Macaca mulatta: one gene and its partners. The protein of the gene in region 4 purifies or fractionates together with the protein of the main gene of each other region. This does not show direct contact. Links are inferred from orthologs where the notes say so. Each region holds a gene or a part of one and is shown on either strand. Other genes may lie near its edges.

The links.
Region 1: the proteins of CEBPA (region 4) and MRTO4 purify together in Homo sapiens (affinity purification with mass spectrometry; 3 studies listed by BioGRID and IntAct, with this or other methods). This does not show direct contact. The link is inferred for Macaca mulatta from reciprocal best matches to the Homo sapiens genes CEBPA and MRTO4.
Region 2: the proteins of CEBPA (region 4) and CDK4 purify together in Homo sapiens (affinity purification with western blotting; 3 studies listed by BioGRID, with this or other methods). This does not show direct contact. The link is inferred for Macaca mulatta from reciprocal best matches to the Homo sapiens genes CEBPA and CDK4.
Region 3: the proteins of CEBPA (region 4) and HDAC1 purify together in Homo sapiens (affinity purification with western blotting; 3 studies listed by BioGRID, with this or other methods). This does not show direct contact. The link is inferred for Macaca mulatta from reciprocal best matches to the Homo sapiens genes CEBPA and HDAC1.

The regions. Positions count from the first base shown.
Region 1 is NC_133406.1:221,715,251-221,718,448, forward strand, and holds the end of MRTO4 (mRNA turnover protein 4 homolog), read right to left. Parts: intron 3,118-3,198; coding exon 3,036-3,117; intron 2,726-3,035; coding exon 2,658-2,725; intron 2,356-2,657; coding exon 2,204-2,355; intron 1,392-2,203; coding exon 1,315-1,391; intron 1,188-1,314; coding exon 1,038-1,187; 3' UTR 859-1,037; downstream 1-858. UniProt on the Homo sapiens protein: Component of the ribosome assembly machinery. Nuclear paralog of the ribosomal protein P0, it binds pre-60S subunits at an early stage of assembly in the nucleolus, and is replaced by P0 in cytoplasmic pre-60S subunits and mature 80S ribosomes.
Region 2 is NC_133416.1:64,928,901-64,933,637, forward strand, and holds the start of CDK4 (cyclin-dependent kinase 4), read right to left. Parts: upstream 2,929-4,737; 5' UTR 2,773-2,928; intron 2,336-2,772; 5' UTR 2,317-2,335; coding exon 2,099-2,316; intron 1,944-2,098; coding exon 1,808-1,943; intron 1,689-1,807; coding exon 1,521-1,688; intron 1,364-1,520; coding exon 1,254-1,363; intron 87-1,253; coding exon 36-86; intron 1-35.
Region 3 is NC_133406.1:208,584,394-208,588,912, reverse strand, and holds the start of HDAC1 (histone deacetylase 1), read left to right. Parts: upstream 1-1,504; 5' UTR 1,505-1,570; coding exon 1,571-1,619; intron 1,620-4,519. UniProt on the Homo sapiens protein: Histone deacetylase that catalyzes the deacetylation of lysine residues on the N-terminal part of the core histones (H2A, H2B, H3 and H4).
Region 4 is NC_133424.1:44,601,521-44,606,040, reverse strand, and holds CEBPA (CCAAT/enhancer-binding protein alpha), read left to right. Parts: upstream 1-1,455; 5' UTR 1,456-1,575; coding exon 1,576-2,649; 3' UTR 2,650-4,050; downstream 4,051-4,520. UniProt on the Homo sapiens protein: Transcription factor that coordinates proliferation arrest and the differentiation of myeloid progenitors, adipocytes, hepatocytes, and cells of the lung and the placenta.

The DNA of each region.
Region 1 (3,198 bases), on a different chromosome or scaffold from region 4:
TGTCACATGGCAAGAGAGTGAGCAAGAGACAGACGGGAGAAAATTCACACACTGATGGGGGGAATGTGAAATGGTACAACCACTTTGGAAAATAGTTTGGCAACTTCTCAAAGGATTAAACATAAAATTACCATAGGATTCAGCAGTTCCACTTGTGGGTATATAGCCAAGAGAAGTGAAAACGTATCTCCCCACAAAAAACTTGGGAATGAGTTTTCACAGTGTCATTACTCATAATAGCTGATAATTAAAAACAACCCAAATGTCCATCAATGAATGAATGCATAAAGAAAATGTGGCATATTCATACAACAGACTATTATTCGGCCATTTAAAAAAAAAAAAAAAAAAAAAGAGTGGCTCACACCTTTAATCTCAGCACTTTGAGAGGCCAAGGCAGGAGGACTGATTGAAGACAGGAGTTCCAGACCAGTCTGGGCAACAGTAGTAGAGACAGGGTTTCACTGTGTTTCACTGTGTCAGGATGGTCTTAATCTCCTGACCTTATGGTCTGCCCGCCTCGGCCTCCCAAAGTGCTGGGATTACTGGCGTGAGCCACTGCACCTGGCCCAGAGCTTTTTTTTTTTTTTGAGACGGAATCTCGCTCTGTAGCCCAGGCTGGAGTGCAGAGGCTGGAGTGCAGTGGCCGGATCTCAGCTCACTGCAAGCTCCGCCTCCTGGGTTTAGGCCATTCTCCTGCCTCAGCCTCCAGAGTAGCTGGGACTACAGGTGCCCGCCACCTCGCCTGGCTAGTTTTTTGTATTTTTTAGTAGAGATGGGGTTTCACCGTGTTAGCCAGGATGGTCTCGGTCTCCTGACCTCGTGATCCACCTGTCTCGGCCTCCGAAAGTGCTGGGATTACAGGCTTGAGCCACTGCGCCCGGCCCAGAGTTTTATTCTTTATAGGAGGTCAGTGCCCATCACATTCCCTGTCTACAGACAAATAAACAGCTGCTCTCTTCAGAGGGGCGGCAGCAGTCCTGCATGGTCCAGTGAGACCCAGAAGGTTCCAGGAGGCCTTTAATTTTGAGTCCCTTTCAGTCATCGTCTTCTGAGTCTGACTCTTCTGCGGACTCGGATGCGCTCTCTGGCAAGTCATCTCCCATCTGCTGGAACCTTCCCGACTGTGAATCCCACATGTATTTGATGGTCACCTTGAATTCAGCCATCTCATACCCAAAAAGCTTCTGCAAGAGACAAAGGGAACAAAGAATCAGGAGGAATGGAGGTATTCAAAGTGCAGGGGGTCGTTTTCAGCAGGCAGAAGCCAGCCAGCGGCCCCTCCTGCAATAGCCCTCAAGGCGCCAGACTCACCAGGACGCGAGCCTGCTCTGGGGTCAGCACATCGCCCTCCTTGCACACCTCAAAGTCGGATAGCAGAGTCACTACACCTGCAGAAGAGGGTGGCTCTCAGTTACCTCTGGCCCAGAGGCCTGCAGAGCCCTCTCTGTCCCTGCCACGTTAGGAGGAATCCAGTCAGCCACCTGCCCTCCCCACAGCTCCATCACACACTGGGCAGTGGCTGTCTCCCTGAGGTCCCTTTGATTCGCCACAGCCTTGACCTCCTGGGTTCAAGTGATCCTCTTGCCTCAGCCTCCCATGTAGCTAGGACCACAGGCACACACCACCATGGCTGTCTAATTTTTTGACTTTTTTTTTTTTTTTTAAACCGGCACCAGGCCCCTGATGTCCCTGTCCCTCAACAGCTGCAAGACTATAAGTTACTGTCTGCTTTCACCCCAACTGTGAGGCGTGCACTCTTAGCCCCATTTTCTTTTTTTTTTTTTTTTTTGAGACGGAGTCTTGCTGTGTCTCCCAGGCTGGAGTGCAGTGGCGTGATCTCGGCTCACTGCAAGCTCCGCCTCCCGGGTTCATGCCATTCTCCCGCCTCAGCCTCCCAAGTAGCTGAGACTACAGGCGCCCGCCACCACGCCCGGCTAGTTTTTTGTATTTTTAGTAGAGACGGGGTTTCACCATGTTAGCCAGGATAGTCTCGATCTCCTGACCTCGTGATCCACCCGCCTCGGCCTCCCAAAGTGCTGGGATTACAGGCTTGAGCCACCGCGCCCGCCCCTTAGCCCCATTTTCACATGAGAAAATGGAGGCTTGTAGAAATAACTTGCTCAGCCAGAAAGGGATGAGCTTGCAGGCTTGTGCTCTTGGACTCTAGGCTGTGAGCTTTTGGCTCCAGGGCTGCCCATACCTCTCTTGAGGGTGGTGGGCAGGCCCAGCTGCCTGAGCTGTGGCTCCATGGAGTGGGGGAACTGCTCCAGGGGCCCCGGGTCCAGGCTCACAGTGAATGCTGCTTTGTTACCAGCGCGGGCGTAGTCCATTTCTGTGTATTTTGTGAACCACCTAAGGGAAAAAGAAGCGGTAGGAGGGGATGCTCCTGGCCACACCACCAGCCCATGAGTCAGGCTCCCCCAAGTGTCCCGTGGCCCTGGGCCTTTACAGACCTTGGCTGCTGGCCAGCAGTCAGCCCACCACACCATGCTGGAGAGGGCAGAGAGGGCTGTGGTCCCAGGTCACTAGCTCAGTGACAGGCTTCCAGGAGCAGTTCCGACTTGATGCCGCATATGGAATGAAGTCCCTGCATCATCCCCTCCCTAAAATCCCCCTCACCCGCCTCTTTCTCTCCGTTCCTCAGCAGTACTTACTCATTCACCTCCTCCTTTGTGCAGTTGGTGAACAGGAGACCCACTTCACCCCTCAACCTTTTGCTGACCTACAAATCAAGAGTGAGGCCAGCTTGGTCACATTAGAGCAGTGGTTCTCTACTAGGCACGTTTTTGCTCACCAGGGGACATTTGGCAACGTTTAAAGATGTTTCTGGTGGTCACAGCAGGAAGGAGTGGGAGGCAGGAAGGGTGCTATTCCCTGGGTCCGGAGGTGAAGGGAGAACCCAGAGCTTTAAGCCAGGCCCTGCTCTCCCTGAGCCACGGGCCAGCCGACGGCTAGGGGAGGCTATCACGTGGGAGTAGTGGGAGAGAAGGCGGCTCTGCCTCAGCCCCACCCCGTGAAAACCAGAGATTTACCTGGTGCAGGTTGTCTTTGTACTCATCAGATGGGCTTCGACCCAAGGCCACCATCATTACCTTGTTTTTGCCAAAGAACATCCTACCAAGCAAGAGAAAGAGCATTCTGTGAAGGAAGTGCCCTGCCCTCCCCGCCCCTTAGCAACATGCAAAGCAGCTCTGG
Region 2 (4,737 bases), on a different chromosome or scaffold from region 4:
ATAGAAAATCTTTTTCTCCCACGTTGGTCACTTACTCAAAGATTTTGCCCAACTGGTCAGCTTCAGAGTTTCCACAGAAGAGAGGCCTAAGGTGAGAAGGGACATAAGGTAGCAGTCATTTTCAAAGATATCTTAGTTGAATGGTTACTGCTTAGTGGCCCAAAATAGAAAGCACAGGGAATAAAGGTCGATAATTCCAGCACTTTGGGATGCTAAGGTGAGAGGACTGCTTGAGCCCAGGAGTTCCAGATCAGCCTGGGCAAGCAAGACCTTGTCTCTTAAAAAAAAAAAAAAAAAAAAAAAAAAAATTGCTGGGCACAGTGGCTCACGCCTGTAATCCCAGCACGTTAGGAGGCTGAGGCAGGTGGATCATGAGGTCAAGAGATTGAGACCATCCTGGCCAACATGGTGAAACCCCGTCTCTACTAAAAATACAAAAATTAGCTGGACGTGGTGGCACGCACCTGTAGTCCCAGCTACTTGGGAGGCTGAGTCAGGAGAATCACTTGAACCTGGGAGGCGGAGGTTGCAGTGAGCTGAGATCGCACCACTGCACTCCAGCCTGGCGACAAGGCGAGACTCCGTCTCAAAAAAAAAAAAAAAGCCAGTCATGGTGGCATGCACCTATAGTTTCTGCTACTCAGGAGGCTGAGATGGGAGAATTGCTTGAGCCCAGGAGATAGAGGCTACAGTGAGCTGTAATTGGGCCATTGCACTCCAGCCTGGGTGACAGAGTGAAACCTTATTGCAAAAATAAATAAATAAATAAAAGAGAATAAAGGGATATGAAGTTCCTAATTCTAGAGCATTTCAGAGCTTTCTGCTATGGGCAAAGTAGTCAGTAGTATGCAAGTAAAAGAATGGGGCCAGGTCCAGTAGTTCACGCTTGTAATCCCAGCACTTTGGGAGATAGCGGTGGGAGGACTGCTTGAGTACAAGAGTTCAAGACCAGCCTGGGCAATATACTGAGACCCCCCCTCTCTACAGAAATATTAAAAAACTAGCTGGGCATGGAGTGTCAGCTACTTGGGAGGCTGAGATGGGAGGATCACTTGAGCCCAGGAGGTTGACACTGCAGTGAGCTGTGATCATGCCATTGCAATCCAGCCTGAGCAACAAAGCAAGCCCTGGTCTCAAAAAAAAAAAAAAAAAAAAAAAAAAGAGAAAAAGAAAGAATGGGCAGGGTGTGGACGTGGTTTATGAACAAGCAATTTGGGGAATTCAAGGTGGTCCAGGGTATGTGGGTCCCATACTTTCGACGAAACATCTCTGCAAAGATACAGCCAACACTCCACATGTCCACAGGTGTTGCATATGTGGACTGCAGAAGAACTTCGGGAGCTCGGTACCAGAGTGTAACAACCTAAAGAGAATAGGAAGAATGGATGGGGACTCCATGGGTTACCACAAAACACAACTTGCTTGACTGAACACACGAAGCACATGACTTCTCAATTGCTACAGGCAATCACTCTCCTACTCCCAACCAGAACCCATTTTGGTACCATCTTTCTACTGACCACGGGTGTAAGTGCCATCTGGTAGCTGTAGATTCTGGCCAGGCCAAAGTCAGCCAGCTTGACTGTTCCACCACTTGTCACCAGAATGTTCTCTGGCTTCAGATCTCGGTGAACGATGCAATTTGCATGAAGGAAATCTAGGCCTCTTAGAAACTGGCGCATCAAATCCTAGTTTAGAAGGGGGAGGTACAGATGCACTGGAAACTAGGCACACCATACCTGAAATCCCAGGAGGTTTTACTACAAAGGTCCCAATCCACCTCTCAATGCCTACCAACCCCACTCACCTTGATGGTCTCGGCTGGCAAGCCTGGTGGGGGTGCTTTGTCCAGATACGTCCTTAGGTCTTGGTCTACATGCTCAAACACCAGGGTTACCTTGATCTCCCGGTCAGTTCGGGATGTGGCACAGACGTCCATCAGCCTGGCCAGAGTAAATGCTCACTTTTCAATCCCCTTTAACCCAACATGGCCTCTCATTATTTCCTCAGGGTCCCCACTTCTCTACAGATCACCACACCCCACCTATAGGCTGTCTTTTCCCTTTACTCCCCACTCCCCTCGTCACCACCTTCTCACCGGACTACATTGGGATGTTCAAAAGCCTCCAGTCGCCTCAGTAAGGCCACCTCCCGAACTGTGCTGATGGGAAGGCCTCCTCCAGCTCCTCCTCCATTGGGGACTCTCACACTCTTGAGGGCCACAAAGTGGCCACTGTGGGGATCACGGGCCTTGTACACTGTCCCATAGGCACCGACACCAATTTCAGCCACTGGCTCATATCGAGAGGTAGCCATTCTCAGATCAAGGGCGACCCTACAATCACAGACTCCTATCACCAAAAGTCCCTTACAGAATTAGCATGGTATGAGCCTGCAGCAACAAAAGGACTCCCAAAAAAAAGCACAAAGAGCAACACTAGCATCCCATCCCCCGCTCGCAGCCTTCCTTGGGGCCGGCCCCAGAGATAACACAATGACTCAATACCAACCCCTCCAGCCACGTGAGGCCCTGCAATAAAAAACGCATTTTCCTTTGGGACAATCGCGCCCTGCACAAAGATCACACATGACACATGCCTTGCATCAAAGATCCTACACCTCAGTCCCTAAAATTATACTTTCCCATGACCACAAAGGCCCCACTTCCCGCCCTTGAGCGACCCCTCCATAACCAGCTCGAGAAACGAACGCGTGGAAAACTGTGAGGGGGGCGGGCACTGGTTCTCATTCCCGGGAAGGGACTGCACTTACCTCACGCCAGGCCGGGGTGCTGCGGGGGCGGCCCGTTATCGGGGCCCCGGAGCTGGTTCCTACGGCCCCATACACCCAAGCTCGGTCCGGGGCAGCTGGACGCAGAGGGCCCGACCATAGACACAGGCCGCAAGCTAGAGAGGCCCCCTCACCCCCACCCTCACCATGTGACCAGCTGCCAAAGAGGCGCGCGGAAACTGGGAGGGCGGGGCGAACGCCGGACGTTCTGGGCACGTGACTGCCACCCATGCGCGGAGGGGTGGCCAGGAGCCGCTTTGACGGGGAGGAGGGCGAAGAGTGTAAGGGGGCGGAGGGGCGATGGTAGCCACGTGATCTGTTGCTATCACACGTGACCGCTTGACATTGCTCTGAGGAGCAGAGGTGTGGTTACGCGGCGGGCACATGACTGGCTGCCACAACCCCCGCCGCGGGGGGGCGCGGTAAGGGGACAAGAGAGGGTGGAGCCCGAGGCGGTGCCATGGCAACCTAGGCCACCCAGAGCCCAACTCCCGGCTGAAGGATTGTCTCACTACCGGTCTGAAGGCTGAACTCCAGTCTCACTACCGGTCTTTCAGCCTGTCTACATTGGGGAGGGAATGGGAGTTGGGGTACCAGAGGTGATGCTGTCACCTTTTCGCTCCACCATGATAAAACATACTCTCATTTGTGTCATTGATTCATTCATTAATTCTACAACATTTTACTGAGTGCTTGCTTCCAGTGTGTATGTGGGTTTTTATTTTGTTTTGTTTCTGGTGTCTGTCACTGGCCCTTTAAAGTAGTGGTACGACTATCTAGAAAGATGTAGCCAACAATGGGGTCTTCTAAAATAGGGAGTAAACAATGCCCATTTGAGGGCAAAACTACGATTAAAGGACGGACAGAAGGCAGATTAATACAGTAATCCAACAGGTTCAGTGACAAGGTAATGCCCCCTCTTTTCTCAACTTCCAAATCTCCCTGGGAGTGTTAATGCAAAGACCTGAGGCCATCTGGCAGAGAAGTTATTAATGAGCAGGAGACAGGAATACTTGACCTTTAAGTTTTTTTTTTCCCCAGTAGGACGGTTCTATGATTATGTGATATTTTTATATGTGTATATATACTTCTATGTATATATGTATGTATATATTATTTATTACATGTAATATATAAGATGGATACAGGAGTGTACATGTGCAAGAAAGTTACCACCACACCCCCTGCACCCTCCAGACCACCACAATGAATGAAAATGACATGTCTCCTTCTGTAAACCTTGTGACTGCTCATTTGGAGTCATTGTGCTTCCCTCTTTTTCCCTAGTGCCTCTTTCTTAGCACTTAGCGGTGTCCAGAACACACTTTTTCCCAAATGGCCTCTGCCCACAGACACCGAGGTAGACGTAGGTAGATTTCTCCTACTTTCTTTGTTTTATTGGCTCCAAGGTCTTCATGTCCTAGCCCTTTGAGGGTATGGGAGTAAAGGAGGAAAGCGGTTAGTGTCTCATTTGTGAGAATTTGTGTAAAATCTAAAGCCATTTTATTACCCTATTTGCCACTCCTTCCACTCTAACTTGTTTTCCTTAACCATCTGGCTGAGAATATAAGAGTTCAAACTAGAAGATGAATATAAACCGTGATTTAGAGCAAAATGGAATACATGTTAATACAGATGCCCCCTCTTTCCATCCTGATACTTGTAGTCCTGGGCCCCTCCTGGCAAGGGCAGCTGAAACACTAGTAAGAAAAATCTCAAGGACTGAACTGACTAAGGGGCTCAAGAGGTGAATGTTTTATTGGCTACCTTGCTAGGGGTGGGTGCTTTGTAAGCCTTCTGGAGGTGAAGATAAGTGTCTAAGTTTTTCAAACTCCCTTCCCACACCAGCATTCCCCACTTCAGCCTCACCTTCCACATAAGCCCTTCGCACCTTACTCTCTTTACAACAGAAGCCGTCTTCTCTGTCTGCTTGGGTCCCAGCCTCTT
Region 3 (4,519 bases), on a different chromosome or scaffold from region 4:
CTTGGCAATGTCTAGAGACAATTTTGGTTGTCACAGCCTGCGGGGAAGGTGCTACTGGCATCTAGTGGGTAGAGGCTAAGGATGCTGCTTAATTTTTTTTTTTTTTTTTTTTTTTTTTTTTTGGAGACAAGAGTTTCGCTCTAGTTGCCCAGGCACAGAACAGCTTCCTACAAAAAAGAATTACCTGGCCCAAAATGTCATTAGCTTCCAAGCTGAGAAACCTGCTCTTCTAGGCCAGGCACCATGGCTCATGCCTGTAACATTGGGAGGCCGAGGCGGGCGGATCCTGAGCTCAGGAGTCGGAGACCACCTTGACCAACATGGAGAAACCTCGTCTCTACTAAAAATACAAAGTTAGCCGGGCGTGGTGGCGCATGCCTGTAAGGCCAGCTACTCGGGAGGCTGAGGCAGGAGAACCGCTTGAACCCAGACGCAGAGATTGCGGTGAGCCGAGATCACACAGCACAGATCACACCATTGTACTCCAGCCAGGGCAACTAAAGCGGAACTGTCCTCAGGGAAGGGAAGGGAAGGGAGGGGAGGGGAGAGGAGGGGAGGGGAAGGGAGGGGAAGAGAAGGGAAGGAAAAAGGAAAGGAAAAAGGAAAGGAAAGGAAAGGAAAGGAAAGGAAAATCTGCTCTCCTATCATAGGATAATCCCATTTCTTCCTGTCTAAAGAGACTCCTACTTAAGTCATCCTGGGTGACTGCTTCAGGGAGGTAGGTTTTGGAGTCAGAAAGGCTGGGTTCTGTCACTTTGTTACAGTGCCTCTGGTGCAAAGAAGGCATTCAAAAAACCCTGTACAGTTGAAAAATTGAATTTAATTACTTTGTGTAACTTTGAGTAATTCACAGAAATCTGAACTTCTTTATCCTGTCCTGTAAAATGGAGGTAAAAAGCCCTTGGCCGAGAGGTGTTTTGAGGAAAAACTGAAATAACATTGGTAAACTGTCGCACAGTACTTGGCACACAGCAGCCCCTCGACAAACAGCTTTCTTTCCCTTTCTTGTCAGTTTCTTCCTCTCAAAACCAGCGTGTTGCTTTTCTTTTTAATTTAATTATTTTTCTGTAGCCCTCCTTTGCGATCACAAACTCGCTTTCTAACCCAGGTTCAGCCCTTTTATTGGCTGAGTGACCTTGTGCAAGTCACTTTTCCCCTGTAGGCCTCGGTTTATTCTCCGTAAAATCAGAAAGTTGGCCTCCGATCTCCAAGCACGCTTTTCACGACCAAGTGGGACTGTTAAGTTTACGGAGCTGCTTTCCTCCCCCGGGACTGATGGTACGGTCCCCGGGCGGCTCCCCACCCATCTGTCGCAGACCTTGGTACAGGCCCAGGGGGCCCTCGGCGGCCTCTCCGGGCTGCCCTTGCCCCCTGCCGAGTTCCGGGCCCGTGTCTGCGCAAGCTGATTGGCTGGAGCGGTGCCCGGGCTGCGCGGCTATAGGTGAGCTCAGGAGGGGACGGGCGGGGCGGGCCGGAGACCCGCCCCCTCCCCCCTGGGTCGGACGCTGAGCTGAGCCGCGGGCGGGAGGGCGGACGGACCGACTGACGGTAGGGACGGGAGGCGAGCAAGATGGCGCAGACGCAGGGCACCCGGAGGAAAGTCTGTTACTACTACGACGGTGAGCACTGTCCTCGCGGCGGGGGCGGGGCCGGGCCGGGCCGAACCGGGGACCTGGAGGCTGAGGCTGGAGCGCCGATGGGAGGCTGCGGGAGGCTGAGGCGCTGGGGAGAGGCTCGGAGAGGAGGCTGCGAGGGGGAAGTCGAGGCTGAGGGAGGAGGCTGTGAGGAAAGGAGATCGAGGCTGAGATCGAGGGGATCGCGTGGGGGAACCCTGAGGTAATCTTGGTGGGAAGATTCTGAGGAAGTCTGATGTGGAGAGTTTGATGTGGAGAGTTTGAGTGGGACTCCTAGAGGGGAGGGTGCGTCCGAGGAGGGAGGCTGAATCTGATGGAGACGGCTGCAAGGATACATTTTCTTGCCGAGAACCCAAAGCTCTTCCCTGCCCCGTCTCTTCCTCATCTTTTCTGGGAGAAGAGCCCTGCACGACTGGTCGCCCGCCTCCCCTCCCCCAGCCTCTGAGCGGGGCCTGCGGTTGCTACTGCGACGTGGGGCGCCAGGGGTTGCAAGGAGAAGGATGCAACCTGTTAAAACAGGCTTCTCACTTAATCTCTCAAGCAGGTTACTGTGTTCGAGGAAGTGTTGAGGGGCTGGGGCGGTGGGAATGATCGGGTCCCAGTGACCGAAGTTCTCTCCGTGTCAGAGCTCAGAGTGTTAGAGGAGCACAGAGAATAGGCACCGAACTCCACCTGAGGAGTCAGCGAAGGAGGGGACGTCTCAGGACCTGAAGAACAGGAGTTCTTAGCCAGGCAAAGGGAAGGCAAAGATAACAGCAAGTTTCAGAGGCAAGAGAGAGGACAGCACCTTTGAAAAACAGGCATTTGACCGGGCGCGGTGGCTCACGCCTGTAATCCGAGCGCTTTGGGAGGCCAGGGCAGGCGGATCACTTGAGGTCAGGAGTTCGAGACCAGCCTGGCCAACATGGCAAAACCCTGTCTCTACAAAAATATAAAAAGTAGCTGGGCGTGGTGGCGCGCGCCTGTAATTCCAGCTACTTGGGAGGCTGAGGCAGGAGAATCCCTTGAACTTGGGAGGTGGAGGTTGCAGTGAGATGAGATCAGGCCACTGGATTCCAGCCTGGGTGACAGAGCAAGACTCTGTCTCAAAAAAAAAAAAAAGGGAAGAAAGAAAAGCAGGCATTTGTAACAGTATGGCTGAGACATAGATTTGGGGGCCTATTGTAGAAGGTGGGGACCCGGGGCGAGGGAAGTGTTGCAAATAATGTGGTTGCTGAAGTAAATGGAGACCGACCAGGTGAGGTGGCTCACACCTGTAATCCCAGCACTTTGGGAGGCCAAGGCTGGTGGATCATCTGAGGTCAGGAGTTCGAGACCAGCCTGGCCAACATGGCGAAACCCCGTCTCTACTAAAAATACAAAATTAGCCGGGCATGGTGTCGCGCACCTGTAATCCCAGCTACTCTGGAGCCTGAGGCAGGAGAATCCCTTAGAACCCGGGAGGTGGAGGTTGCAGTGAGCCAAGATCATACCACTGCACTCCAGCTTGGACAACGGAGTGAGGCTATGTCTTAAAAAAAAAAAAATGTAAACAGGGACCAGACCATGAAGGGCTGGGCATGCTGTCCCAAGGAAGTTGGACTTTATTGAGGGCACTTGTGAATGATTCAAGTTTTATGCAGGTTAGTGACATCATCAGGTTTATACCTTAGAAATTAAAGTCATGGGCTGGGCACGGTGGCTCACACCTGTACTCCCAGCACTTTGGGAGGCTGAGGAGGGCAGATCACGAAGTCAGGAGATCGAGACCATCCTGGCTAACTTGTGAAACCCCGTCTCTACTAAAAATACAAAAAAATTAGCCGAGCGTGGTGGCGGGCGCCTATAATCCCAGCTACTTGGGAGGCTGAGGCAGGAGAATGGTGTGGATGCGGGAGGTGGAGCTTGCAGTGAGCGGAGATCATGCCACTGCACTCTATCCTGGGCGACAGAGGGAGACTCCGTCTCAAAAAAAAAAAAAAGAGAAAGAAATTAAAGTCATGGGGTCCAGGTGCAGTGGCTCACGCCTGTAATCCCAGTACTTTGGGAGGCCGAGGCAGGAGATCACTCGAGGCCAGGAGTTCAAGACCAGCCTGGCCAACGTGGTGAAACCCCGTCTCTACTAAAAATACAAAAATTACCTGGGCGTAGTGGCACGCACCTGTAATCCCAGCTACTCAGGAGGCTGAGGCAGGAGAATCACTTGAACCTGGGAGGCAGAGGTTGCAGTGAGCCAAGATTGCGCCACCGCACTCTAGCCTGGGCAACAGGGTGAGACTCGATCTCAAAAAAATAAAAAAATTAGCCAGGTGTGGTGGCACATGCCTGTAGTCCCAGCTACTCAGGAGGCTGAGGCATAAGAATTGTTTGAAACTGGGAGGCGGAGGTTGCAGTGAGCTGAGTTCTCACCACTGCACTCCATCCTGAGCAAAAGATAGAGACTTGGTCTCAAAAAAACAAAAACGAACAAAAAAAGAAATTCAGATTTTAGGGGTAAGGAAGAAGGCATGGATCCCAAGTTCCTGGTGTGGGCAATACATATATATATAGAGAGAGAGAGACAGTGTCTAGCTCTGTCACCCAGGCTGGAGTGCAGTGGCATGATCTTGGCTCACTGCAACTGCAACGTCCATCTCCTAGATTCAAGGGATTCTCCTGCCTCAGCCTCCTGAGTAGCCAGGATTACAGGCGTACGCCACCATGCTTGGCTAATTTTTGTATTTTTATTAGAGATGGGGTTTCACCATGTTGGCCAGGCTCGTCTCAAACTGACCTCCAGTGATCTGTCTGCCTCAGCCTCCTAAAGTGCTAGGATTACAGGCGTGAGCCACACTTCCTGGCCTCTGGTGTGGGCAATTTGATGGTGAGTGTTTGGAGGTTTGGAGAATGCCATGTCAGTTGATAAC
Region 4 (4,520 bases):
GCGGGTCGTGGCGCCTTGCCAGGTCTTCAAGAAGGCCACAGGTCCTCCTACAGGTGAAGGGGGTCTTCCCTCACCTGGAGGCAAGCGCGCCTCTAGCCAGGACCCAGACTGCGTCAGGCCTCAGAGCCAGTGGCGAAAGGCGGCGCAGGCAGGGGCAGGAGACACTTGAGGGCCCCCAAGACCCCATCTGGGCCCAGCTGACAGTCCGCAGCCCCCACCCCGGCCGCGGTAAAGAATGCGAGGGACGCACGTGGCCGGGGGTCTCTGTAGCAAGCTCCTTCCCCCGCCGCGGTGAAAGCGTTAGCGTGCCACACTCAAGGGGCCCCAGGGCCCAGCCGCCTCGGTCCCCAGGATCCCGGGGATCACAGCGCCCAGCGAACTACCGGGCAGAGTTCTTCCTGTGGGTGCTCGGACCTGGCGGCCCCGGCGGCCTGGACACCCTCGCTCCGGCCGTTGGCGCCCACCTGAATGGGGGGTGGGGGGAGGAAGCGGTGGCTTCGGGCCTCGCGGACTGCGGCCCCCGCCTCGGGATCCCGGCCCCAGAGTCAAGTTTGTCTCCTCCCTCGGTGCGCCCCTCCCCATGGTCGCCCCGGCGTCCAGCTCGGCTATTCCCGGAGCCCGCCGGTCCCTCAGGAAAAAAAATCGGCGACTCCACGCTGGGTAACAACGCCTGTCCCGCGCGCCTAGCAAGTCGCGCGCTCCGGCCTGGAGAAGTAATTATAAAGAAAGTTTTCCAGCCCGGGCGGATCCACCGGCCAGGTCCTTCAGGCTCCCGGGCCGAGGCCGCCTCCGCTCCCCGCGGGGTCCTAGCGCCCCGCGCGGCGCCGCCCGTGGGATTCCACCGTCCTCCGAGAGGTGCCTCTGCGCGGAATCACAGGGGTAGCCTGGAGATCAGAGCTAGGAGACGCAGAGCCACCGCGCTCCGGGTCTCTCCGCGAGTCCCAAACGGCCCCCCACCGGCCCCTGCCCGCCCCGCCGCTCTGCGCCGCAGCCTCCCCGGGACGCGGGTCCCGGACAGGCCTGGTTCTGGCTTTGAAAGAGAGTCCGAGCCACAGCAGCTCAAGACCAAGACTCCCCTCCGCCACCCACCCCTACCCCATGCAGCCTCGGGATACTCCTGGGCTCCCAGCCGTGGCAGAATGTGGGTGCCTAGGGGAGGCGGGAGGAGGGGGCCCCCGCCACCAACCACGAGGGCGCAGGGGCGACAGCTGGGCCGGGGGCGGAGCTTGGAGCGAGCGCCGCGGCTCTGCTGGTCGCGCAGGAGGCGGTGGGCGTTGCGCCGCGGCCTGCCTGAGGAGCGCAGCGCTGGGCCCCGCTTGTTCGCCGCTCCATCCCGGCCGCGCGCTAGGACCCAGCGGGCGCCGCGCCGCCGCCGCCCGGGGACAGAGGCCGCCTCGGACTCTAGGGGGCGACGCGGCCGCGGGGTATAAAAGCTGGGCCGGCGCGGGCCGGGCCATTCGCGACCCGGAGCTGCGCGGGCGCGGGCGAGTCGGGTCTCCGGGTGGGCGGCGGCGACGCCCCGCGCAGGCTGGAGGCCGCCGAGGCTCGCCATGCCGGGAGAACTCTAGCTCCCCCATGGAGTCGGCCGACTTCTACGAGGCGGAGCCGCGGCCCCCGATGAGCAGCCACCTGCAGAGTCCCCCGCACGCGCCCAGCAGCGCCGCCTTCGGCTTTCCCCGCGGCGCGGGCCCCGCGCAGCCTCCCGCCCCACCTGCCGCCCCGGAGCCGCTGGGCGGCATCTGCGAGCACGAGACGTCCATCGACATCAGCGCCTACATCGACCCGGCCGCCTTCAACGACGAGTTCCTGGCCGACCTGTTCCAGCACAGCCGGCAGCAGGAGAAGGCCAAGGCGGCCGCGGGCCCCGCGGGCGGCGGCGGCGGCGGCGGCGACTTTGACTACCCGGGCGCGCCCGCGGGCCCCGGGGGCGCCGTCATGCCCGGGGGAGCGCACGGGCCCCCGCCCGGCTACGGCTGCGCGGCCGCCGGCTACCTGGACGGCAGGCTGGAGCCCCTGTACGAGCGCGTCGGGGCGCCGGCGCTGCGGCCGCTGGTGATCAAGCAGGAGCCCCGCGAGGAGGATGAAGCCAAGCAGCTGGCGCTGGCCGGCCTCTTCCCTTACCAGCCGCCGCCGCCGCCGCCGCCCTCACACCCGCACCCGCCGCCAGCGCACCTGGCCGCCCCGCACCTGCAGTTCCAGATAGCGCACTGCGGCCAGACCACCATGCACCTGCAGCCCGGTCACCCTACGCCGCCACCCACGCCCGTGCCCAGCCCGCACCCCGCGCCCGCGCTCGGCGCCGCCGGCCTGCCGGGCCCCGGCGGCGCGCTCAAGGGGCTGGGCGCCGCGCACCCCGACCTCCGCGCGAGTGGCGGCGGCGGCACGGGCAAGGCCAAGAAGTCGGTGGACAAGAACAGCAACGAGTACCGGGTGCGGCGCGAGCGCAACAACATCGCGGTGCGCAAGAGCCGCGACAAGGCCAAGCAGCGCAACGTGGAGACGCAGCAGAAGGTGCTGGAGCTGACCAGTGACAATGACCGCCTGCGCAAGCGGGTGGAACAGCTGAGCCGCGAACTGGACACGCTGCGGGGCATCTTCCGCCAGCTGCCAGAGAGCTCCTTGGTCAAGGCCATGGGCAACTGCGCGTGAGGCGCGCGGCTGAGGGACCGCCCTGGGCCAGCCTCCGGCGGGGACCCAGGGGTGGTTTGGGGTCGCCGGATCTCGAGGCTTGCCCGAGCCATGCGAGCCAGGACTAGGAGATTCCGGTGCCTCCCGAAAGCCTGGCCTGCTCCGCGTGTCCCCTCCCTTCTTCTGCGCCGGACTTGGTGCGTCTGAGATGAGGGGGCCAGGCGGTGACTTCTCCCTGCAAGGAGGGGAGAATTCTTGGGGCTGAGCTGGGAGCCCGGCAACTTTAGTATTAAGGATAACCTTGTGCCTTGGAAATGCAAACTCACCGCTCCGATGCCTACCGAGTAGGGGGAGCAAATCGTGCCTTGTCATTTTATTTGGAGGTTTCCTGCCTCCTTCCCGAGGCTGCAGCAGGCCCCCATGAGAGGAGGAGGGGAGCAGGCCCGTGGCAGGAGGAGGGCTCAGGGAGCTGAGATCCCGACAAGCCAACCGGCCCCAGCCGCTCCTCCGCGCCTGTCCTTAGAAATGGGGGGAAACATAGGGACTTGGGGCTTGAAACCTAAGGTTGTTCCCCTAGTTCTACATGAAGGTGGAGGGTCTAGTTCCACGCCTCTCCCACCTCCCTCCGCACACACCCCACCCCAGCCTGCTATAGGCTGGGCTTTCCCTTGGGGCGGAACTCACTGAGATGGGAGTCACCAGGTGACCAGTGGGAGCCCCCACCACGAGTTAGACCAGAAAGCTAGGTCGTGAGTCAGCTCTGAGGATGTATACCCCTGGTGGGAGATGGAGACCTAGAGATCTGGCCGTGGGCGGGCTTGGGGGGTGAAGGGCCACTGGGACCCTCAGCCTTGTTTGTACTGTATGCCTTCAGCATTGCCTAGGAACACGAAGCACGATCAGTCCATCCCAGAGGGACCGGAGTTATGACAAGCTTTCCAAATATTTTGCTTTATCAGCCGATATCAACACTTGTATCTGGCCTCTGTGCCCCAGCAGTGCCTTGTGCAATGTGAATGTGCGCGTCTCTGCTAAACCACCATTTTATTTGGTTTTTGTTTTGTTTTGGTTTTGCTCGGATACTTGCCAAAATGAGACTCTCCATCGGCAGCTGGGGGAAGGGTCTGAGACTCTCTTTCCTTTTGGTTTTGGGATTACTTTTGATCCTGGGGGACCAATGAGGTGAGGGGAGTTCTCCTTTGCCCTCAGCTTTCCCCGGCCCCTCCGGCCTGGGCTGCCCACAAGGCTTGTCCCCCAGAGGCCCTGGCTCCTGGTCGGGAAGGGAGGTGGCCTCTCGCCAACACATCACTGGGGCTGGGAGCAGGGAAAGACGGCTTGGTTCTCTTCTTTTGGGGAGAACGTAGAGTCTCACCGTAGATGTTTTATGTATTATATCTATAATATAAACATATCGAAAGTCAATGTCCGTGTCTTTTTAAAACCAGAAAGAAGCTACTTCCAAGGTTGTCTGTGGGCCAGGCCACATTTGTAAATAATACAGCATTTTCCCTGGCGGCAATCCTGACTTTCATGAGCTCTCCATCCACCCCCAGCCCCTCTTTACCCTAAGGGGGTGACTTACTTCCCCCAGGCAACACAAATAAATAGCAGAGGACAAGGCTCCAAACGGAGAGTGTCCAGAGCCTGAAGGCAGTCTTGGGGTCAGGAGAGGGGGCCTTCGAAGAGGTTAGGGGGCTGAGGCTTTGGCAAGGTCTTATCTGCCCCTGGGAGGAGGAGAGGGAGTCCTCTGCATGAGGGGCAGGCCCGGCTCAGCAGGCCTAGGCTCAAGGAGCCCTTTGTCCAGACTTCCTTCCAAATCACCTACAGCTCCAGCCCCGGCAGCCTCACTCACACCCACCGCAGCTCCAGCTTCCACCAGGATCCTCAGCCAG